3 linked regions of the Tamandua tetradactyla genome follow. Each later gene encodes a partner of the first gene's protein in a complex. Links are inferred from orthologs where the notes say so. Each region holds a gene or a part of one and is shown in the gene's direction. Other genes may lie near its edges.

Region 1 (7,877 bases):
GAAATCAGATCAGGTTAATTTAAAAAGTCCTATTGAAATAGCTCCTTTACAATATACATGACCTTGCTAATATGACATCTTAGATTGGCCCTAAATTTGCACAAATTGAAATAGGTCAAAAATGACCTATAGATTCATTTGGGTACAATTCAAGCTACTACCACAGAAAAGAGAATCATGAATGAAAAACAACTACTGGGGGGGGGGGGGACCCCTAACAGAAAAACAGAAGAATCTTCTCTCGTTTTAAAGCTGAGACCTGTACAAATGTAGACTGGTGTGGGAACAGCAGTTCCCACACCAGTCAAACAGAATGTCAAACAGAAAACAGCAGTGAATACGAGTGGGTGGGGATGGGCTGAGATACAGCAGTTTCATCTTTTCTAAGAGCAATTAAGAAAAGTTTCATCTTTTCTAAGAGCAATTAAGAATAGTACATGGAAATAGACTTACCAAGATGTCACACCTATTTCCACTTCCTAGGATGGTTGCATCTTATCAGTCTCCTCTCTACTTTGACAATATACACAATAAATACCAAATGAAAATCTCTTATGAAAATTACATATTTTAATAATATATTTAACAACAAACATTTAGCTTAATGTGCTTTAAAATTATATTAAGTCTAGATCTTCCATCATATCTACAATATTTAACAATGAAGAGAGAAAAGAGTCAAAATGACGGCAGTGTTCCTTACAGAATAAACCTAAGCTGTACTATTCATAGTATTTGTTTTTACTTATATTACAGGAGTACAAATAGTAAGCTTAACCAATTAAAAATAAGATGCTCATGTAATAACTTGTTTGGTTAATTATCTATAGTATTCAAAAACATACATCTTAATACTAACAGTTTTAAGAAGTTAAAAACAAGATAAATTGTTTCTTTAACTAGATTAGTTCAGAAAATAAATTACATAGTGCCAATACTTTAGGATAAGCCAACACATATAGTTTTGCTAGTTAGAACTTGCCAATTCCCTAAAAAATCTGATCCATTACAATCAACCTATTATCAAAGAAATATGAAGAGAAAAAGGGAAGGCAGGAGGGAGGGAGAAAATAACATCAAATTATTTTCTATAAAGTATTATAATCTTCAATAATTTATCAGCAATGGTTTAACAGTTCTTTTAAAGGTAGGAACTTTTAAGAAAAAATTTAGTCTGTTGGCTTTAGAATTCTTAAAAAATTCATCCTTTAAGTTATACCTAGAACATCAACTACCTTCCTCATTCCCACACACATGCTTTTATCTCTCCTTCCCTCTCTGTCTCCCCTCCTCCTTCATTTGCTTTCTCCCCTTCCTGCTCTCTTTCTCTCTCCCGTTTTCCTTCTCCTCTCCTCTCTCTCTCACACACAACGTATCTAATTCAATCACTAGTTCAAAATAAGGTAGTTTTAAAAGAGACACTCTCTAGAGAACTATAAATGGTAGAAAGAATAAAAGGACACAGCAAGCTAAATAAGTCAAAGAGCCATATCATTTATTGGCTACGTTCCAAAAAAACAAAAAGCCAGTCTTTTTCCAGATAAACTACTGGGTCAGGTCTGAGCAGGTGTGGCTCCAAGATCTCAGAGAAAGTCTACTTCTCTCAGTGATAACAGGAGGGAGAAAGGAAGTTGATAACCCAGTCTTAAATACTGGTGTACAAAGGGACAGTTCTAGGTGATTCCAAGTTTAATATATCATGTCCCACCTTTACAAATACTATCTTGCATGAAACATTTCATTCATTACAATTTCTTCAACGCACCTTCCAAACACATGGTAAAAGGATTAAACACTGTGCAAAGCAAGGTTGTACAACCTTGGGTCACTGCCTCAGGACCCAGGCACTCTGACCTACAATTCACCCAGAGGATTAGTTTCGGAATGCAGCAAATGATATAACTGGCCAACATTTGGATTTATGCTGGTACAATATAGTAGAGTTCAAGAATGTTCACATAAATTTTGTTTCAGAACTCTTGAGAAAATTCTTTATAGTTGATCTGATCTTCCATATCACATAAAAAAAAAATCAAACTGGTTTCATTAGAAAACTTGGGAACAATGTTAACATGGGGTAGATGTAGGTTAACCTGAATCCCTAAGGTCTCACCTTTAATAGACTAAATTGCAGGAACCCATTAGAACTTGATCCATTCCATGCTATAAAAATTGGGAGAAAAAAAAAGCTAGGTGTTTGCATCATTTGGGGTACTTAACAATCATTTTATTGGATAGTGCATTTGGAGGTATCTGGAAAAGCACAACAGATAGCAAAGTTGTGCTTTATCACAAAAGTGGAGATTTGTATTGGCATGAAACCAAAATACAAAATTTTCTTTTTAAAAAAGTCAGAAGATAAATTATAAATCTGTAAGTTGTTCAGTGGAAATGAAATTACTTTGCTATTTTTCACAACTACATAGTTTGATAAATATTAAATCATGGAAAAGAATTTCACTGTACAAGTTTCCTTTCTAAAGATTGTTTAAAAATAACCTTTAACATGCAAAGAAAACAAGTTATAGAAAATCCTAAATCCTTGACATTGAATCTTTCTATTCTTGTTATAAATTGGTGATTTAGAAAACCTGATTTATGAAATCGCAAATATCAATTTAATACTATAGTCATATTTCATTTTGCTCTAGCAAAATATTACTGAATGTTGTACCACTGAATAAGCCTAATTACAATAAATATTTCATAAAACCCAAGCAAAATTTTACCTTCTGATGGAATACAATTCAAAATTACAAATACCAGAGCCCCCAAGAAAAGGGAGAAACAAGTATTATATAGGAAGCCTCATAGCCCACCTTTCCTCTTGACTGGCATTGTTGGGTCTTTCCGCTGCCACAGGATTCAAGATCTCTTCAGGTCTCAGCTTGATCCAGCGGATTGAGGCCAAAACCAGGTAACTGTTGCAAACCACTTCACTGTTCAGTTTTGAAATCCACGCTGAGCCTTTTATTTCAGGTAAAGACAATAATGTATTTTTTTCCACAATTAAATTTTTGACATCTCCCACAGAGCACAGAGAAAACTAACTTTTGAGTTTTTCAAGTTTTTCAATTTTTATAAAATATTGTTTTAAAAAACTGAGAAAATTATTGTGGCATAGAAATGTAATTAAAACTCTCCTTCAGGCAGCAACATTTTTGGAAGTTCAGTGACTAACTCAAGGCACAAACCAAATTTGGACAGCTGTCTCATTACTCTATACATGATCAAGTTCAAAAATGCACTGGTTGATTATAAAGATGTTCAGTTCCTTAAGAGAAAAAAGTAACTGCCCCCTCCCCCTCACCAAAACAAAAAACTCAAAAGTCTCTAAAAAGGTGGGTGAGTTTGAACAGTCCTCTGGGGGCAAAAACAGACTTGAAAGGCCCCTTTCTATTTACTGGACCAGAAGTTCGGATCTCACTCCCTCAGTCAGACAGGATCGTGCTCGCTGTCATTTTCATCTTTATCTTCTGGCCTCTCCAAGCCCCCCCCAGGCTCGTTCTCTAGTGCCTCTCTGATTCCGATCCTCCCATATATTAACCGAGAGGATTGAGAAGATGGACAGCAATCCCTTGGCATGGAGACATTAAAGTGGCAGTGCTACTCAATGGGCACTTTGATGCAGGATGAGTTGGCGAAGCAGGTTTCTTCACACTGGAGTCATTCACATCATGCCACCTTTTCACATCCAAGCAGCTACCTATCCGGCGAGAAAAAAAAAAACACTGAGACTGTTCCAGAGGAAAAGGCAAACCTTTCCCCCAAAGGCGTTTTCAGAGACGCTGTAGTAGCGGTAGGCATGTAAACATAAGCTATGCAAACGGTCCGCGATTTTCTAAATAAAGAGTTCAGCCGCTTGGCTTCGCATCCACTCTTTCTCTCAGCCTCTCTCCAAACTGCCCACCTTCCTTTCGCAGAAAAGACAAGAAATCTCTCTGCCAATGCTGCCACCCCTGCCCACACCCGGTTCTTATGCAGAAGAGCACTGAAATGTCCTGCACCCTCCAGGCGATGAAGTGTTTCCTCAGGCAGGAGAAACAGCAGCATTAGATATTATATAACTCTCGAACTTGGCTTCCCTAAGACATGGAGACTGGAGGGGTCGGGGTTGCTGGTCTGAGAGATACTGCTGGGTATTTAACGAGCACAAAAGAACGCTGGACCTCATCGCACAGCGCCCACCCCACCCCCAACCACCGGCTGACAGGGGAGTCTACTGGGTGGGAGGGAGGCGTGGGACACATTTCTCTCCAGTCCCTTTCCAAGCAGAGCGAAAGGATGGAATGAAGGGACTAAAGATTGGGAAGAGGAGTCTGGCAGCTACGAGGGGAGGAGGCTAGTCAGGGGTGTCTGGCGACGCTGGCGGCTGATTCGGATCTTTGGAGAGGAGGTAACGGAGGAGCCGGAGCCTTAACACTAGAGCCAGGCCAGAGAAGGCGAACTCCTTCTGGGAGCAAGGACAGGCACGGCTCCAATCTAGGGGGCTGCCCTGAGGCGAGGAAGGCGCGCAGCACCATCCCTAAGCTTGGAACGCCCCATTTTCCGCCCCGGGTAGGAGGAGAACAGGGAGTGAGACTGACCAATAGCTGAGGAAGCAAATACTGGGAGACCCAAGAACAGACCCGTCTGCTCCTCCGCGAAGCCAATGATAACCGTAATTTCTGGACGCCACGACCAATCACAGCCAGGATGGTGAGCGCAGCTTTTGATTGGGTAGAGTGAGCCTGGGCGGCGGACGAGGCGGGAGAGCAGGCGCCACTTACCCCCTCCCCGGCATTCTAGAGCCCCGCCCACCCGGGCTCACGTGAGCCGCCAAGATGGCGGTGCTCGGCCGTGAGGTTGGTTCCGAGTTAAGGGATGTAGGTGTGATGCCGGTGAGAGCTGGAGAAGCGCTCAAGGTAGGCGGCAACAGAGTGATATATCTAGAGCCTCAACATGTTGGGGGTCTCCTCTGGGATAATGCACATAAAGGGCATTTGAAAAGCAAAAAGAACAACTTTCGATTAAGCCCCCAGTCAGTATGGGAAGGATTAGAGAGATAATAGGAGCCCTGAAGTCTAGTCCTGATCGTAGGCAACTTGTTTTCTCTTGTCTCTGGACCGTTGCACGGGCCTTTCCTTCAGCTTGGAATACTCACTTGCTCCTGTCTCTCCCCATCCGCGCTTAATTCTCCTCTTTCAGATCTTCGCTTAAATGTCAGTTCCTCCAGGTAGGTTCCCAACATTTTTGGCTAGATTTAAGTATGCCTTTTTTAAAGTTGGTGTGTGTATGTCACCTTCATTCTCCTTTCAAATTACCTGCTTATTTTGTCTTGACCTCCCACTAGGCTTTGGATCCTGACTACACGACTTTATCTTGATTACCCAGGGGCCTATCATATCCCAGGTGATGATTAATGATGAATAAAATTCCGGAAGTCAGGTGGAATAATATACATAATAACACTTAAAACGTAAAATGCTCTACAAACTCTAATCCTACGTAAATGCATTTTTACTGGTTGTTGCCAGTTGAGTGGCTTGAACTAGTGTTTAGATAGAATGTTGGCTAGAGCACAACCTTTACATTTCAGTATTTGTAAAAAGTCTTTCTGAAAGTTGACCAGTCTACTTCTCTGCTTTAATAAGCAGAGTGTAATGAAAAGAATCGGTCATTTATATTGGCAGTGTCTTGCAAAGGTTAGGTACTTAATAAATATGTGCCAGCCTGTTTCAGTATTTTATGATCACAATTCTGTTTTCCCTGTGCAGAGCTGAGGGTGTAGGCTGGATAGGAGATTGGTACAGGGCATTGCCTGGAAGTTATTTCTGTGGGGATTGGGGGTATCAATAATGCGAATGACAGCAAAACAAAAACTTATCCAAGGTTTTTGGTTAATCATGTTCTTGACATTTGCCTTCATCATGCATTAAACCTGTTAGATATAGACCTTCCGTTAGATATTACTATCTTTTCCCTTACATTTTCCACTCACATGTCAGAGAGATGCAAAAGATTAAGTCTAGTATCTGAGAAATTGTCATTTGTAAAAACTTTTTTCCCTTTCCTTCCCAGATATTTTAAAGAAAAATAACTAACCTGAGTACAACTCTGCAAGGATTTGTGGGTAAAAATTGGCCATTATTACTTACTGTGCAATACCATAAGAAGGTTCACAGGAACCTGTATCTTCAGAATGTTAATGCCATGGGCCAAGGATGACTTATCCTTCATTAGTTAGGGTTAGGATTGGTATTGATCATTCATTCAGCAAATGTGTATTGTAGTGATGTTCAAAGTATATTCATTGACAACCAGTATCAGAAACATTTGCAATGCTGTTAAGATGCAGATTTCTAGGCCTCACCCCACTCATACTGAATCCAGATATCTCAGGAGGGAGCTCAAGAGACTGCATTTCATACAAACTCCTGTTAGTGATTCTTGTGCACACTAAAGCTTGAGAACCACTGATTTATTATTTCCTATGTTCATTATGTTTAATCCACTTTAATCCTTTTGCCCAAAACTCTTGAAATTTGAGGATTAGTATATATTCTTGACTATAAAAGTTGTTAAAATGGAGATTGCTGTAAATTCATGAAAGGACTAATCTGGAGGAGATAGGGAGAGAAAAAGCATTGAACTTTCCATCAGGAGCCCTTCCACTTACTGATGTGGTAAGTAAACATTTACAACCACAAATGTGGAATTTGCAGTAAATGCCAGATAAGAGCTCAGTAAATATTGATTAAAATCATTAACATAAAGTATGTGAAAGCAGATAGCATAGTACCTGGCACATTACTAGTCTCTAAATGTTTTTAAAACAAAATCTGTAAAATCTATAGGGTTGTAATTAATATTGATATCATTAGCTATTATGGTTCTGAAATTTGTGTTTTCTAGGACATCAAGACAGCAACATATATGCATCAGCAGCCCAGTCCTTCTCAAGGAGATGCAACACTCAGACGATCAACAGTTATTGAAATGATAGAAAAAAAAATTGAATATCTTAGAAAAGAAAAGTAAGAGATACCCAGACTGAAAGTCAATAGCTTCATTTACAAATCTTCTGTACTGCTGTTTGTGAGGACTAAGATACTCTTAGCTTCACTGGTTCTGAAGAAAGCTTATAAAAAAAGAATTGAAGGAAAACATGGACAAATGAAAATAGTAGTTGGCTGTAAATTGGAATTGTCAATGATGACTTTTGCCTCTTAAAAAGTTCCCAAAATTATTGCTAAAACCATTTGTGCAAAAAAAAATTTTTAATTAAAAATAAGTTAACAATTGTAAAGGGATGTTAAATAAGCATAGATTTCCTTAGAAGGTAGGTTCTTATGAGTGTGTTATATGATACCTGGAGGTTCCAGAGAATTTTCCAGATGGTCTAACACCTGTCCAAAATTCAAGTCTTATTAAAAACAAATGGTTTTCAAAATAAAAGACACCATGGCATTTTGAGATCTAGATGTAAAGGGACCTAAATAAATATTAAATTTTCTTTTTAATCTAGAAAAAAATAAAAGGAGAAAAACCATTTGGGACTACTTATATTTCACTGATTTGTTATTAAAATCAGTTCAGGACTGGTTACTCAACCTCAGTACTCAGCACAACAAATGATACACATATAATGTCTCTCATACCACACTGACTATTGGATTAAGAAAGCTCAAGAATAAAATCAGAAGACAGCTGATCTTAGACCTTAGAAGTTTCTGGATTTCAATATAAGTTAGTATTAGTAAAATAATCTGTCCGCTCTCTTTGGATGAAGTTTTGGGAATCCTGGACAAAATATTTTCAGTGTATCTGTATTACTTAGGAAATAGTTATTTTCTAGAAGGCCTAACCAAACATAGGCTTTTTTCAGATCACCTTAA
Region 2 (7,989 bases), on another chromosome or scaffold:
CACCATTTTTAGGAAGCAGATTCTTGGGGGATCCAGTAGCAATACCTGATACTGGGTTATCCGGGCATTTGAGAGCCATCTCTCAGGTGGGCTCCTTAGTAATGTTTCTACTGAATGTGGGGCCACTACGTGTAAGTCCTGTCCCAGAGTCAATTTGGATGCTTCTTTTACTAAAATGGCAGTGGTGGCAATGGCTCAGAGAAAGCTTGGCCACCTGGCCACTACATAGTCTAGTCTTTTAGACAGGTAGGCAACTGGTATCCTCCATAGCCCTAGCATTTGGGTGACGACTTCTTTTGCTATTCCCCAGGTTTCAGCGACATGTAGTTGAAAAGGTTTGGATATGTCAGGCAAGGTTAAGGCAGGGGCGCTCACAAGTGCCTGTTTCAGCATCTTAAAACCTTTTTGCTCAGCCTCAGTCCAGGTAGAGCTTCCTCCTTTCCCCCTGTGCTAGTGTATAGGGGTTTTGCTATCTCTGCAAACCCGGGAATCCAGAGCCAGCAATATCCAACTGCCCCTAAGAATTCCCGTACCTGCCTTTTCATTTTTGGTTAGGGTATTTTTAGGATAGCTTCAATCCTTTTAGAAGACAGAGCTCTTTTTCCCCCTTCTAATTCATACCCTAAGCATGTTGCTGAACTGGTGCAGAGTTGGGCTTTTTTGGCTGAGACCCAATAGCCCAACTGGGCTAGTTCCTGTAACAAGTTTTCAGTTGCCTTTTTGCAGTCTGACAGGTTATTAGCTGCCAGTAAGAGGTCATCCACATATTGTAGGAGAGTTATCTCTGGATGCTCTTGTCTAAAACGAGCCAGATCCTGGCTTAAAACCTCATTGAACAGGGTGGGAGAATTTTTGAAACCCTGAGGCAACCGAGTCCAGGTTAGTTGTCCAGAGAACCCCCACTCTGGGTCAGTCCATTCAAAAGCAAAGATGGGTTGACTTACCACGGCCAGGGGAAGTGAAATGAAGGCATCCTTTAAGTCCAGAACAGTGTAGACCTGCTGGCTGAGAGGTAACAGGCTCAAGAGTGTATATGGGTTAGGCACAGTGGGGTGAATGGTTTCAATTTTTTTGTTTACCTCTTGGAAATCTTGCACTGGCCGGAAATCGTCAGTCCCGGGTTTTTTGGACTGGGAGAAGGGGGGTGTTCCAGGCCGAATGGAAGGGGACTAGAATACCTGCCTCTGAGTCTTTTGATATGGACTGCAATGCCTTTTTTAGGCTTTAAGCTTATTGGGTACTGTCGGACTCTGATTGGGGTGGTGGTGCTAGTCAGCTGGACAACAATGGGAGGCCAGTGGGTGGCTAATCTTGGTAGGTTAGTTTCTGCCCATATGCCTGGTATTTTTTCTTTAAATTCCCGCAAATATGGGCCTGGGGCCAACAGCACCACTTCTGCAGTAAGTGAATATCCAATAAGGGGCAAGTGAGGAAGATTGCCGAGGGTTTTATATTGAAGGAGAGCTCGGCCGAATCATTTTTGAAAGAGATGGTGGCTTGTAATTTCTGGAGAAGGTCTCTCCCCAAAAGGGGGTATGGACACTCTGGCATTACAAGAAACGAGTAGGTGACAGTTCCTTCCCCAAGGTCAGTGATCCTTGTCTTCGTCCATGGGTAAGACATTGTCTTTCCCGTTGCTCCCTGTATGGGGATTTTTTCCTTAGATCTGGGCCCTTCTGCTTGCTGGAGGATGGAGAAGGTCGCCCGAGTATTTCCACAAGAAATTTTATAGGCTTGCCCCAGATTTCTAAGGTGAACTTGGGCTCCCGGGGGCTCAATGGAAAGGAGCGCTGTCCCCATCAATTCACCTCTCCAATTAGAACAGGGGCTGGTTTCAGTCCTTTAATTTCTCTTTTAGGGCATTCATTTTTCTGATGTCCATTCTCTTTGCAGTAGGCACATTAGTAGGCCCAACCTTTTCCTTGGTTTCCCTTTCTTTTTTCAATGGTTTCTTGTCTACCTTTTTGTTTTTCCTTTTTTGGGGTGTGTGTGTGTGTGTGTGCGCGCGTGCGTGCGTGCGTGGTCCAGGAATCGAACTCGGGTCTCCCACATGAAAGGCGGGCATTCTAACCACTAAACTACCTGTGTACCCTACCTTTTTGTTTTTCCTGTTCAGCCATCACGGATATTAAAATTTTGGCTATTTTTTTTTGGGACTGCGTGGTTCCGGGGTTATCTCTGTCATTAAAAGTCTTGCGGGCACTCTCTATCAGTTCGGATAGCACTTTACCCTCAAATCCTTCTAATTTCTGTAACTTTTTTCTTATATCTGGGGTCGACTGGGTGACAAATGCTATATTTACAGCTCGCCTATTTTTGGGTGCCTCTGGATCTATAGGGGTGTACAAGTGGTATGACTCAAGGAGGAGATCAAGGAAAGCGGCCGGAGATTCATCAGGCTTTTGTACGGTTTCACTTACCTGAGATAAGTTGGTTGGCTTCTTGGCCGCCACTTGTATTCCCCAGAGCAGAGTCCAGTGATATCGATCAAGAGCCTCCTTACCTCTCTCAGTGTTGGGGTCCTGTCTGGGACAGGTGGAGGGGAACATAGCCTCTAATCGGGTTGATTCAGTAGTAGGTTGTCCATCAGGTCCAAGAATTAACTCCCTCGCCTCTCTCCTGACCCAGTCTCATTCTTCGGAGGTGAAGAGGGCCTGGGGGAGCTGTTGGCAGTCATCCCAGGTGGGCTGGTGCGTCAAAAAGACAGTCTCCAAGAGGGAGATGAGCCCTTGCGGCTCTTCAGAGAAAGAGGGATTCTGGTTTTTCCAATTACACAGATCGCTAGAGGAAAAGGGGACATAGACCATGAAAGGTGGACGGTCATCCCCCAGGGCAGGGCCAACCTGCCTCAAGGGTAAAATTGGAGCTCCAGAAGAATCCGGTGATTGTGAACCAGAAGAAGGGTGGTAAGCAGAACCACTTCTGGTATGGGGGGGACTGAAGGTCACCTCCTGGCTATCAGAGGGGCTGGTTGCCACCTCTTGACCTTTCCTCCCCTCTGGTCTTAGAGGGGGCGGAAGGGCTGTTGGGTATGGGGGAGGGTCCATCGAGAGCAGATCCTCCAAGGGTCCTGTCAATACTGGGATCCCATTAGTTTTTTTTCTTTCTGAGAGAATTTTATTAAGAGGGCCGTTTGGCTTTGGGGGGTTTTCCTTTTTGGGTCTCCATGCAGGACTGTAACCACTTGGGTTTTTCTGTAAAGATTTCAATCCAAATTACCATACAGGGGATTTGGTCAGTGTGGCCTGGATTACCAAAAATCGCCCTTTGGACTTTATAAGCCACAGATAGATCTGTGGTTCCCTCAGGAGGCCACCCAGTACCAAAAGTTGGCTACTCCCATGAACAGAATTTTTCCAAGTCAAAGGTATTGACAGGGGCTCTGTAGTCTCTGGCCTTCGGCTGAAATTCCTGAAAATTTTTAAAAAAACATTGAAGGGGAGTACAGACAGATGAACTTGACTGACCCACGGCAATTAAGACAAGAACGACACAGAATGCGATGAGACCAACAATTGGGAGGAGGGACAAAACAAATCAAAATAAGCAAAGAGCTATCCCTAACTAATTCCTAACCCATAGTCCTGGGCAATGTCTTGCTCCAGGACTGGACCTCAGAAGTAATGCTGCATTCAGCCCTCCAGAGGTCCTCACTGGATCCAATAACAGACCTGTACTCACCGGTGAGGTTTCCAAAAACAGATGACTCCACCAGATTTTCTATAATTTAGGAGAGTCCTGTAGAACCGGCCTGGTCCCTGGTCCTTGCCTGGGGTGGAGGAACGTCTCTCCGAGGCCTTCCCCTATGCTGGACCTTGGTTCCAGGGGCGATCCAGGACCGGTGGTCACCAGATGTCCTGTTAGGGATAATCTTGCTGGGGCCTCCAAATGTTGTGGGGCGCACTGAAAGACAGACCACACAATTCAAAACTGCAAGCCAATTGGGAGTCTTTATTAACCTGCTGGCCACTGCCTCAGAAACCTTCAAGAAGGATGATTCAGAGAGCAGCTCCCAGAGGTTTTCAAGGTGAGCTTATAAAGGCTAAAATCATGTTGTGGTTTGCAGGTGCTAGCAAGCAAGTGTAATTACAGAAGCAGAAAAATGCCATTAACTGTTGCCAAAACACATCCTGTTCCCTCAGTTTCCTAACATTGGTCATTGTTTAACTCTTGGGGACATTTCGCCCCAGATTTTTGGGGACTTTCCTTGCTCCGGCCTGATTTATTGCTCCTGGCCCTCCACAGCCCCCACAAACACTTCTTCATTCTCTGCCCAGATTACTCGGGGATATATCCAGGCTTTACACCAACCTGTACAAACCAACAAGATCTCCTGTCTTATTCAAGTTTATGGTGTTCAACTGAACTGACCACACAAGTCAAATTAGGCAACACCCTACCCAAAGTACAATTTTTTTGCAAATATTTTTTAACCAAATAAGTCTTTGGGTTCTTATCTTTCTGACGTTGGGTCATCAGGTCTTTAACGCAATTAATTCAACTTTTTATTGAGACTCGCTCAAGGAGGGGGTTAAAGCATGTTGACATGAACGAGATTTCCTACTGTTCTCAAGTTCATATAATGGAGCCGGAAAATATTTTCCAATACTGTGGTAAATGCTACAGTCATGGTACACGCACAATGAGAGATTAAAGAAAGAAGACCAATCTGTTCCTGGAGAGGACTGCCATTGGAAGATATAACCTACCTCGCATGCACCACCCACCGGAGGTCAAGGCCGCCAACATGGCGCCCGGGCCGGTGCCGGCCCCGCCCCTTCCCGTCCCCCGGGCCCGCCCCCGGATCCGCCCCCTCCAGCCGGCAGTCCGCGGGAGGTAGCGCAAGCGCAATGTTGGGGGGGGGCGTCGCAGTCGAGTGGCGTCATCGGGCTACGCGAGTCAGGTGCACTAGACTGCTGATGCTGAAAAGTGGCGGCGGCGGACCCGGCGGCTTAAGGAGTTGGAGGCAGCATGAGCGTCTGCGTGCTATTTTTGCGCTCGGCGGCGCGTTCCTGCCGGGCTCTGGCCGCCTTCCCGGCGAGCCGACGCACGCTGCGCACCAGCCCTCCGAGCGGAGCTTTCGCCAAGGAGCTCTTCCTGGGCAAAATCGAGAAGGTAACGCCAGGCCCGAGCTGACCCTTGCTCCCCGGCTCCCACCTTTCGGCCCTAGCAAGCAAAACAGGTGTCGAGCTTTGTCAGTGTCCCCAAATCTGCCTAACTGGAATCACCTGGGGGCGGGGCGTGTTACGAGTCCCACTCCAGCCTTTCCAGAGAAAGGGGCCTGGAGAAACCATGATTTTGACAGCTATTCCAGCTAATTCCTGTCAGGTTAATTTGGGAAACCCTATTCTAGGTGATCGCCAAGCAGAGCTCAACTGGGTTGTCTTAGCCCCAAAATGTGCGAGATTTCTCTGATTTCTAAACAGCGCAGACCCTGCCGCTCCTCGTGGGCTTCCAACTGCTCTTAGGTTTCAGAGCTGAGTCCCGGCTCCGGAACCTACCATTCAGGCTGCCGAAGAACCTGGCTCCAAGGTGCCTTCTTCTCGCCATCCCTTCCGCGGTCACAGTCAATAGCAGCGGTTTGGTTATTAAGCACTTTCCATCCTCTTGTTGTTTGAAGACTTGAAATTGACCTCGGCTCTATGACTTGGGGGGCCTTAGTTCTTCAACCTTAAAATGCATCTAGTCATGCTTCTACCTCACAGTGGTATCTGGAACTGTTTTCTAAGCAGGAAGGTACTGGGTAGAGGTAAGAGGCAGCAGAATTGTTAATGCTGGCGTCAGTGCTTATTTGTGTAACTTTCAGGTACTCACTTAGGTCCCTGTGCCTCAGTGGGCTCTTCTACAGGATAGGAGTATAAACATAATTCATCCTCAGCTAAAGGTGCTGTGCAGTCCAAAGAAAAAACTTTTGTGAAGTGCTTTGAGCAAGGCTTAGCAAAAAGTTGACTGCTGCTGTATGGCTTAAGGAGTCAGTTCCTTTCTCATTAGAACATTCCTCTGCGATTGTTAGGCTGACCCTTTTATACCAGCCGTACAGGTGTAGAAGCTGAGACAGACTGAGAGTGGGTTTTCCTGTCAGTGAGTGCAGATCTAAGTCTTTAAAGTTTGGGAAACCTTTTTTTTTTCACCCTGAATGTGAGGCTGTGTTGTGCTGTCTCCTGGGACCTATGCCTCTAAACAGCATGGCCAGGAAAGGACACAAGCTTTTCTTCCTTCAGGTTTTTGAACCTCTGGTGCCGACTCTCCCATCCTTACTCTCAGCGGTCAAGTTTGCTTCCTGCTTCACTAAGAAAATACCTGCAGTCAAGGAGAACTTTCATCATCACATATACCCTCTCCTCCCCACATTTATACCTATTTCTTCTACTTTCTTCCTATGACTGTGAATGAACTCTCAACTCCCAAAGCCCAGCCTCATCACTAGACCTCATGCCTTCTCACCTTTTCAAGGATCTGATTCACTTACTCTGTCTTTTGTCATCTGCATCATCAGTGTTTCCTTCTCTACTTCATCTCAGGCTTTTGTCATTAACACTCTTCTAAAACTGCTCTCCTGAAAGTTGGTCGTGGCCTGCACATCATCAAATCTAATGGTCTCTTCTCGGTCCTAATCTTGCCCTATCATTGGCATCTGACAGTTCATCCCACCACCCTCTTTGAAGCACTTTCTTCACCTGTCTTCTGAAAGACCATTCTATCCCAGTTCTTCTTTTTACCTCAGTCTGGTCTTACCCAGTCTCTTTCTCAGTTCCTTGACCTCTACACATTCGTCATTCTTTCTGACATACCCAGTTAGAGTGGTATATTCTAAGGCTCGGGCTATGAGTTTATTTCTTCAGTTCAGACTTTATATTTATTTTTCTGCCCCAGAGCTGAACTCCAGACTTTATGTCTACTTTTCTGCCCCACAGCTCCACTTAGATGTTGTCTTAGTTTCTTAGGGCCCCTGTCACGAGCTTGGTGGCTTAAAACACCAGCAATTTATTGTCTTGGTTCTGAAAGCAAGGTCCCTCTGAACCTGTAGAGGAGACTCCTCCCTTGCCTCTTCTAGCTCTTGGTGTTGGCCAGTAGTCTTTGACGTTTCTTGGCTTGCAGCTCCAGCACTTTACTCTCTGCTTCCATCCTCACATGGCTACCTCCCCTGTGTCAGACCCTATTGAGATCACCAGTCCTTTTGGTTTAGGAGCCTTCCAACGCTACTATGACCTCATCTTTCATCATTTTTAAACCTTTTTGTTGTGGTATTATATATGCAACTCAAAATTTCCCATGTGAACCATTGAAGTGTATACTTCACTGGCTTTGATTAAGTTCCCCATGTGCTACCATCAGCACCACCCATTACCAGAACACTTTTGTCACCCAAAACAAGCTCTGCACCCATTAAGCAATAACTCCACATTCTGTTACCTCATCCCACCCCCCCATCTCATCCCATTCAGAATCGTTGCTCTAATTTCTGATTATAACTTTATCTTAATCTGTAGCAACTTTATTTCCAAATAAGGTCCCATTCCGAGGGACTAGGGACTAGGACATCAACATATTTTTGGGAAGGAAGGGTTGGGGGGACACCTTTCAGCCCATAAGAGATGCCTAATAGTTGTCTCAAGTTTAACATTCAAAACTGAGTTGCTGGTCTCTCTACTCCACCACCTTCCTTGTTGTAGACAGTGGCAACTGTTATTTTACTTGTTCAGACTGAACACTGGGAATCCTTATAACTCTTATTCTTATATCCACATCTACTCTGACAACACATCCTGTCTTCCCTTCCTGCAGTTTATATCCAGAATCACCAACCTCAGCTCTCACAGTATTATCGGAATTTGAGCAGGAAAGTGGCAGCAATGCTTAGAATCTCAGAATAGGAAGAGATCATTAAGCTCATCTAGGCCAGCATTTGCCACACTTGCTCTTCCCGGAACTGCCCCTGGGGCTCCTGCCAAGACCAGTGGGAAACTGAGTGGGTGGGCCATTGGGATC
Region 3 (7,778 bases), on another chromosome or scaffold:
TAAAAGACTTCTTGTGACAATTAGGACTATGGGCCAGGGGGTTGGGGCTGGCACATGAGGGCACACAGGCCCAATCTGGCCTTCTGCCCGTTTCGGTACATGAGTATTACTGGAACGCAGCCAAGCCACTTCATCTACACATCATCTATGGCTCTTTTCACCATCTGAATGCAGAACTGAATAGTTGTGACAGAGATTAGATGGACTGCAATGCCTCAAATATTTACGCTGCAGCCTTTCACAGAAAATCGTTTGCTGAACTCTGGTCTAGGGAGTTAAGTATTAGGGAACTGGGGATACTGGTCTTGGTCTCATAATGACACTGTAGTTAAGACAGAGGACGTCTGTGTCCCTAAGAGATGCGTGCTGAAGGAGCTGGGGGGAAGTACCCTGATGACTGTGACTTAGGAGGTGGTTGGGCAAGACAAATCACAAAAAATGTAGAGATAAAGTTCATATGACAAAATGCCAACTGTGGTTGAATCTAAATGGTGGGGATAGGGTGTCCCCTTGGCTGTTCTTTCAGTGGTTCTACATCTTTGAAGTCTTTCATAATGAAAAGTCGGACAAACAATTCACACAGGTTTATATCCCGTTCTTTCTGAAGGCTATGGCCCCAGATGGAATGGCATTTTTTAGCAAAGGACTCAGCACATTAAAATTCTACTCAAACAACGAACTGTTTGAGAAAGCCCTGGGGTCCACTCTAATTAGATTTTGCCTGGTTAGTTACTTGTTTCTGCAAGAAAAGATAACCCATTCTTCTGCTTCTGGTTTATACTGGACTTATCCATGTTTGGGAATTCATATATTGAGGAAGGGAAAGATTGTATAATGAATATATTTTTTGCTGAAATATTTTTATTTAGAGCAAACAGGAATAACTATCTTTTAATTAGACTTTTTTTTTTACTGTAAAAACTTATTTTCTGGGGAAGAATTAGCTTTACTCAAAGGTCTGACCTTTGCCCTCAGCTACCTGGAGGCGATTCTGGTCCCCTGGAATGTCCTGCCTGATATGAGTGTCTTTGTTTGCCTGGGGGCTTTGGTCACCAAATAGTTGACCAATTATGATGGGGGTTTTAAGCCATATGAGCAGTTCTGACCTCTGGAGGAACTGGAGAGTTAAGCTGAAGGGGCTGGAGACTAAAGGTCAGCCATGCGGGCAGTATATGATTAAGCCCTGATAGAAACTCTGCAAACCAAGGCTCAGGCAAGCTCCCCTGGTTGGTGATACTCTAAGTGTATTGTCACACACAGTGGTCAGGAGAGGGTGACACAATCCAGGACTTCATGGGGAGTGGAAGACAGAAACTTTACGCTTGAACCCTTCCCAAAATTTGCTCTATGCATCTCTTGCCTGATTCTAATTCGTATTCTTCCCCCAAATAAAACTGTTATTGTAATTTTATCACTTTCCTGAGTTGGGTAAGTCCTTCTACTGAATCACCGAACCTGATGGTGGTCATGGGAACCCCTAAACTTGTAGCCAGCTGGTCTGACATGAAGGTTGTCTTGGGTGCCTGTGAACTTGCGGCTGGTATCTGGAGTGAGGGCAGTCTTGGGGGACTGTTCCCTGTGACTTTGCAGTTTGGCAAACTCACTGCAAGTTCAATGCAGAAAAACAGCCTGTTTCAAATGTTTTAAGGTATGTTGGTTTGAAACCGTTGTGTACCCCAAAAAGTTGTGTTCCTTAATCTTGATTCAATATTGCTGAATGGGATCTTTTTGATGAAGTTGTTTTCATGGAGATGTGACCCACCTAGTTATGGGTGGGCCCTTTTGATTAGGTGGTTTCCATGGAGATGCATCTCCACCCATTCAAGATGGGTCACTTACTGGAGTCCTTTACGTGGGAACCATTTTGGAAAAAGCTTCAAAGCTAACCCAGAGAAGTCTAGAGATACAGAAATAAAATGCCCCCAGGGGAAGTTGTTTAAAGAAGCTGGAAGAGAAAGCTAGCAGGCATCACCATGTGCCTTCCCAGCTGAGAGAAAAAAACCCTGAATGTCATCAGTCCTTTCTTTAGTCAAGGTATCTCTCCCTGGATGCCTTAGTTTGGACGTTTTATAGTGTTAGAACTGTAGATTTGCACTTTAATAAATTCCCCTTATAAGAGCTGTTTCATCTCTGGTTATCATATCCCAGCAGCATTAATAAACTAAATCATAAGGGATTACACTGCAGGTCACCTGGTTTCTTTACTATTTCAAGCTTTAAGCTCAGACATTCTGAATCTTTCTGAGAATCTAAAGCACTTTTCCAAACAGCATCCATAACAACTGGAACAGCTTCCGTAGGAAATGGCAAATGTGGCAAACAGCGATGCCCTAGGGTCCAGGGATTTGTAGCAGGTCTGCTGTGTGAAACTGAGAAGGTCAAAACTGCATGGGATCTCAGGTACCTTATGCGTAAATTGGGAATAACAACTATCCTACTTGGAGTGGAAGAGGGAGGAAAGAAGGTATGAGAGGATCCAATGATATTGTGTAAAAAAAGTTTTGGAAATAAAAACTTAGACCAAGGATCAATCAGCCATGGTCCACTGGCCAAAGAGAGCAGCTGCTTGTTTTTGTAAATGAAGTTTTATTGGAACACTGCCATGCCCATTTGTTTACATGTGGTCTATGGCTGCTTTTTTTTTTTTTTTAACATACCATACACCCACCAACCACCAGCATCTCAACCTAAGTTTATTTTAACATTTACTCCCCCATTATTCATTTTCATTCCATATGTTTTACTCGTCTGTTGATAAGGTGGATAAAAGGAGCATCAGACACAAGGTTTTCACAATCACACAGTCACACTGTGAAAGCTGTATCATTATACAATCATCTTCAAGAAACACAGCTACTGGAACACAGCTCTACATTTTCAGGTAGTTCCCTCCAGCCTCTCCATTACATCTTGACTAACAAGGTGATATCTATTTAATGTGTAAGAATAACCTCTAGCATAACCTCTCGACTCTGTTTGGACTCTCTCAGCCACTGACACTTTATTTTGTCTCATTTCACTCTCCCCGCTTTTGGTCAAGAAGGTTTTCTCAATCCCTCGATGCTGAGTCTCAGCTTATTCTAGGATTTCTGTCCCATGTTGCCAGGAAGGTCCACACCCCTGGGAGTCATGTCCCACGTAGACAGGGGGAGGGTGGTGAGTTTACTTGTTGTGTTGGCTGGAGAGACAGGCCACATCTGAGCAACAAAAGAGGTTCTCTTGGGGGTGATTCTTAGGACTAATTTTAAGTAGGCTTGGCCTATCCTTTGTGGGGTTAAGTTTCACTATGGCTGCTTTTGCATTAGAGTTGAGTAGTTACTATAGAAAAAAGGGTCTGCAAAGATGAAAATTTACTGTCTGGCCCTTTACAAAAAAAGAATTGCTGATCTTTGTCTTAGACCGCTGTGGACCTTTAGCAACCCACAAATGTGTGCTATCACTGAACCTCAGGGCCTTTGGAGAACTTGCCAGACAGACTGAACCTGTGGCTCAGAGGATAAAATGACGTGACTAAGGTCACACACATATAACGTGGAATTCTGGGTACACCACTGCCCACTCAGCTAAAAAACAATGGCAGGAAAGGGAATAGGGTAGAGGGGTTGTACTTGAGGACGGTAAAGCTATTTGGGCCCAGCCTCAAATCTCAATGGCTGATGCTGAGCAATCAATTTGTGCAGGAGATAATAGTGAGCCTCATCACAAATGCCGATTTTAGCTGAAACCTATCCATATCTATGGCAGCAAAATCTGGGAATGAGAAGCAAGAACCTAAAAAGTCCGAGAGAAGTCTCAACAGGTAGCCTCTAACTTCAACTCCTCTGCTGTCCAGATCCACTGCAGGGGTGAGAAAGGAGGGTGGTGGCTCACACTTATTAAAGCCTGCTGCGTGCAAGACACTTTTACAAGCTTATTTTATTTCATCTGATCCTCACGAATAACATAAAAAATACAGAATGTCCTCACTTAAAGCTGCAGACTGAGGTGTAGAGAGGTTAAGTGACTTGCTCAAGGTCACACAGTGGTGAAGCTGAGACTCGCCTAGGACTGCCTGACCCCGAATTCTTTGATTTTAATATTAGGCTACACAACACAGCTCATGGATAACGGGACCTCAGAAGGCACATGGCTGGTAAGGAGCCCTGAGCTGTGGTTCAAATCCACGGCCACCAGCCCGCAGGACTTACGGAGAGATTCTAGAACTGCACTTTTCAATCCAGTGCAAGTTTCCTGCTCTCAGGCGTTTTTTGGTTCCGTCCCATCACTCAGAACACCCTGAGGTCTTGAAGAATTGTACAGGGCTTTCTTCACATCCCTCCAAGACACCAGATTAAGACTCAGCCCCTTGGAGTTGGTAGGAGGTCATTAGCCGACCGGAGGTGGTCCTCAACCGCCCTCGCCGCCCACCCAGGGCGTCGTTAGTCCCGTCTGATCCCAGCAGAGGGCTCCACACCGGCTGCCGCCGGCCCACCGGGCGCCGCCTACCTGCCGCGGGGCCGTCAGAGTCCCGTCCACGTCGAAGAGGCAGAGCACTGGGCCGGGGTCCGCCATGTCTCCGGTCCCGTGACCACCTAAGAGGACTCGTTGGCACCAGGAACTCAACCCGGAACTTCCTGGTCCGGCCCACGTGCCGCAGGGCAAGCCGGGAGGCGGAGAATCTACTCCCACAATGCCTGGGGACTAGCAGCGACTACTTGGCTTTGGACCACAGCGACCAGAATGTAGTGCGCCTCGACGTTGTCGTTGCACGTATGCGCATGCGCCCTTAGAGGTCCGGAGGCAGGCGGGATTCACTTCCGGCAGCCGGCTGCGGGGCCATGGTAAAAACGCGAGTAATGGAATGAGGGAGGAATTGCGTTTTCCGGGGTTAGGGTAGAATTGGGGCGGACGGGCAGGACGCCCGAGTTTCTGACTCGGAGAATCCGCGGGAAGAAACTTCGGCGTGGGTTGCACTTAATTTTCTGGCTTCCTGTGCCCTCCATAGGTCACATGGGCTGATAATAGTGATGGCTAAAACTGACCGAGCGCTCACCTGTTCAAGCGCCGTGTTGAGGACTTTCAAATCATTTTATCTTTCACTTTGCTGTGAATCCCCATTTTTAAAGATGGGCAAATGGGCTCTCAGAGGTGTTGAGTAACTTGTCCAAGGAGATACAGCTAGTGACGGTTGGAGCCAGGTTGGGACCCAGATTGGGACCCAGATCTGGCTTCAAGGCCCGGGGCTCAGAGCTTTTTCCATTTTGTTCCACAAGGTGTAGAACTGCGCGCCTAGGATAATCTTTTCCCCTTCCCCTCTGCTGTTTTCCTCTCCTGAGCTAGGCTAAGGAGTTAGTTAGCAGTTAGTTGGTTAGGCACCCAAGCTAACGCATAAACCTGACAGAGAATTGAAAAGTTATTATCATAAGTATCTCACTGATTTCTTGCTCCAGTATCCTGATAGGACACTGATTGTTTACTGGGGAAGTGTCCACACAGCCTTGTGGATCCAGTGCTCAGCATAATGCCAGGCCCACAGTTGACCCTTATTAGTTATTTGTGGAATGAATGAAGGCTGGTCCCCCTTTTCTTACCTTTTTGGAACTGCCTGGAGGTAAGAGGAACGTTTTGAATGTCAGACCTGGCCTCCCTCACTAGCTGTCCATTTTGGGGCAAATTTTTTTTATCCTTTGTGGGTTTGGTTTCCTCAGTGGTAAAGTGGAAGTAGTGCTCTCTACTGCACATAGCTGGTGCAAAGGGCACTTGAGGTAGAGCATCTGGTTTTACCTTTCTCTTCATCTCTGGTGTCACTGATGACCTCAGGATGAGGGGGGAGTCTCTGTGTGAGAAGCCTTGCAGATTACTATGATGGAGTTCTGTAAGAGAAATGTTCTCCTTTCTCCCTTGCAGGCTGCCCTTCTCCGAGCTATACCCCGGTTGCGGGGACCAGCTGCGTGGGGAAGGCCTCTCTATGGGCTGTGGTGCTGCACTGAGCAGGATCCCAGGAGGTGCGTGGGGACCAGGTCACCCACCTCAGAGGAGAAACCACCAGACCCAGAGAAAGAGAAATTCCGTATGGTCTACCGGTTTGATGCCATCAGAGCCTTCGGGTATTTGTCTCGACTGAAGGTGGCACAGACAGCTCTGACAGTAGTGGCCCTGCCCCCAGGCTTCTACTGGTACTCCCAGGGCCTCATGACTCTCGACTCTTTGTGCCTTGTGGCTGGGATAGCTGGCTTTGCCCTGGCCATGTTGTGCTGGATGAGCTATTTCTTCCGAAGACTGGTGGGAATCCTGTATGTCAGTGAGTCGGGCACCATGCTGCGTGTAGCACACCTGAACTTCTGGGGGTGGCGGCAAGATACATACTGCCCTGTGGCTGATGTGATCCCCCTGACGGAAACCAGGGACCGGCCTCAGGATGCGTTCATGCGAATTCAGCAGTACAGTGGGAAACAGACCTTCTATCTCACCCTGCGCTATGGACGCATCCTGGACGAAGAGCGGTTCACACAGGTGTTTGGGGTCCTGGACACACTCAAGTGAATCCCTAGCTCTGGTCACCTAGATCTCTGAAGGGAAGACTGAGCGTACAGGGCAAGGCTGAAGAAGAGGATTGGACAGTTGGAGTCTTTGCCAGGACCCCTGGGAACTTGTCTTTTGGGAAGAGGAAATTCATGAGGCAGAAGCTAGTAATCAGGTTTAGAAAAAAGATCCTTAGTGCAGATTCTTAACTGCAATTTGTGTATATGACATTAAGTCAAATAATGACAGTTCATGGAGGAGGCTACGTCAGGTTCACCTGCATGGTACACAGTTGGGAAATTAGAAAACAGAGATGTGGCTGGGGGAGCCCAGGATTTGGAGTCTGAAGACTCCCAAGTTTTTCATTTCTCAGCTTTCTGTTGAGGGTAGGTTCTTGAATGTCTTTGAACATTGGTTTTCACATCCACAAAGTGGAGAGTCCTGCCTGTCTCCTGGGATGGGTATAAGGATAAACAGTAAATATCCGAATGCTTTGAAAACTCAGTGACCCTGAGCAAATACTAAGCTTTACGTCACAGTCCCAGACACTGCTCTGTTCTGAGGGTACCAGAGGTTCATAAAAGCCTTGGAGGTGTTTGTCGTTGAGTGTCTTGTGGCAGGACAGACATTAGACAAATAAACCTATGTTGTTACAAGTGGTGGCGAATGCAATGGGAGAGTGGGGTGGTTGGGGTGGGGAGGGGCATGGAAGGGACCTTAAATAGAGCCCTGAGATGGAAGTAAGAGGCAGGCACAGAGTTTGTTTCAGTCCAAGGAAACTGTGAGTATGAGCTGGGGAGAGCTGGGTGCATTTGCTGAGGAACAGAGAAGATGTGGAAGTGGAGCTAGGGAGGGAGGAAGAGCAAGGTCAGGAGACCTGCCTTGTTGGCAGGAGGGAAAGATTTTGAATTTTATCGATATCACAGTAGGAAGCCTTTGAAGGTCAGAGAAAGGAATTAAAACTTTTTTTTTTTAAGAACAAGAAATCACAGCTACTTTTAAAAAAAAATTTATTAATTAAAAAATTAAGAACAAAAACATTAAACATTAACATATAATTCTGTTCTACATATATATTCAGTAATTCTCAATATCATCACATAGTTGCATATTCATCATTTCTTAGAACATTTGCCTCAATTCAGAAAAATAAAAAGACAACAGAAAAAGAAAACAATAACAGAAAAAAAAATTATACATACCATATCCCTTACCCCTCATTTTCATTTATCACTAGCATTTCAAACTAAATTTATTTTAACATTTGTTCCCCCTAT

What was found. Proteins that work in one complex are often made in the same cells at the same time.
Region 2: TMEM126B (region 1) and ACAD9 share a complex: the UniProt entries of both Homo sapiens proteins name them as parts of the mitochondrial complex. The link is inferred for Tamandua tetradactyla from reciprocal best matches to the Homo sapiens genes TMEM126B and ACAD9.
Region 3: TMEM126B (region 1) and TMEM186 share a complex: the UniProt entries of both Homo sapiens proteins name them as parts of the mitochondrial complex. The link is inferred for Tamandua tetradactyla from reciprocal best matches to the Homo sapiens genes TMEM126B and TMEM186.

The regions. Positions count from the first base shown.
Region 1 is NC_135334.1:58,850,644-58,858,520, reverse strand, and holds the start of TMEM126B (complex I assembly factor TMEM126B, mitochondrial), read left to right. Parts: upstream 1-4,773; 5' UTR 4,774-4,823; coding exon 4,824-4,904; intron 4,905-6,894; coding exon 6,895-7,016; intron 7,017-7,877. Other genes in the region: DLG2 (disks large homolog 2), read right to left, coding at 2,820-2,838. UniProt on the Homo sapiens protein: As part of the MCIA complex, involved in the assembly of the mitochondrial complex I. Participates in constructing the membrane arm of complex I.
Region 2 is NC_135335.1:32,578,864-32,586,852, reverse strand, and holds the start of ACAD9 (complex I assembly factor ACAD9, mitochondrial), read left to right. Parts: upstream 1-4,868; 5' UTR 4,869-4,971; coding exon 4,972-5,115; intron 5,116-7,989. UniProt on the Homo sapiens protein: As part of the MCIA complex, primarily participates in the assembly of the mitochondrial complex I and therefore plays a role in oxidative phosphorylation.
Region 3 is NC_135349.1:48,649,314-48,657,091, forward strand, and holds TMEM186 (transmembrane protein 186), read left to right. Parts: upstream 1-4,778; 5' UTR 4,779-4,817; coding exon 4,818-4,820; intron 4,821-5,886; coding exon 5,887-6,522; 3' UTR 6,523-7,157; downstream 7,158-7,778. Other genes in the region: PMM2 (phosphomannomutase 2), read right to left, coding at 4,486-4,551. UniProt on the Homo sapiens protein: As part of the MCIA complex, required for efficient assembly of the mitochondrial complex I.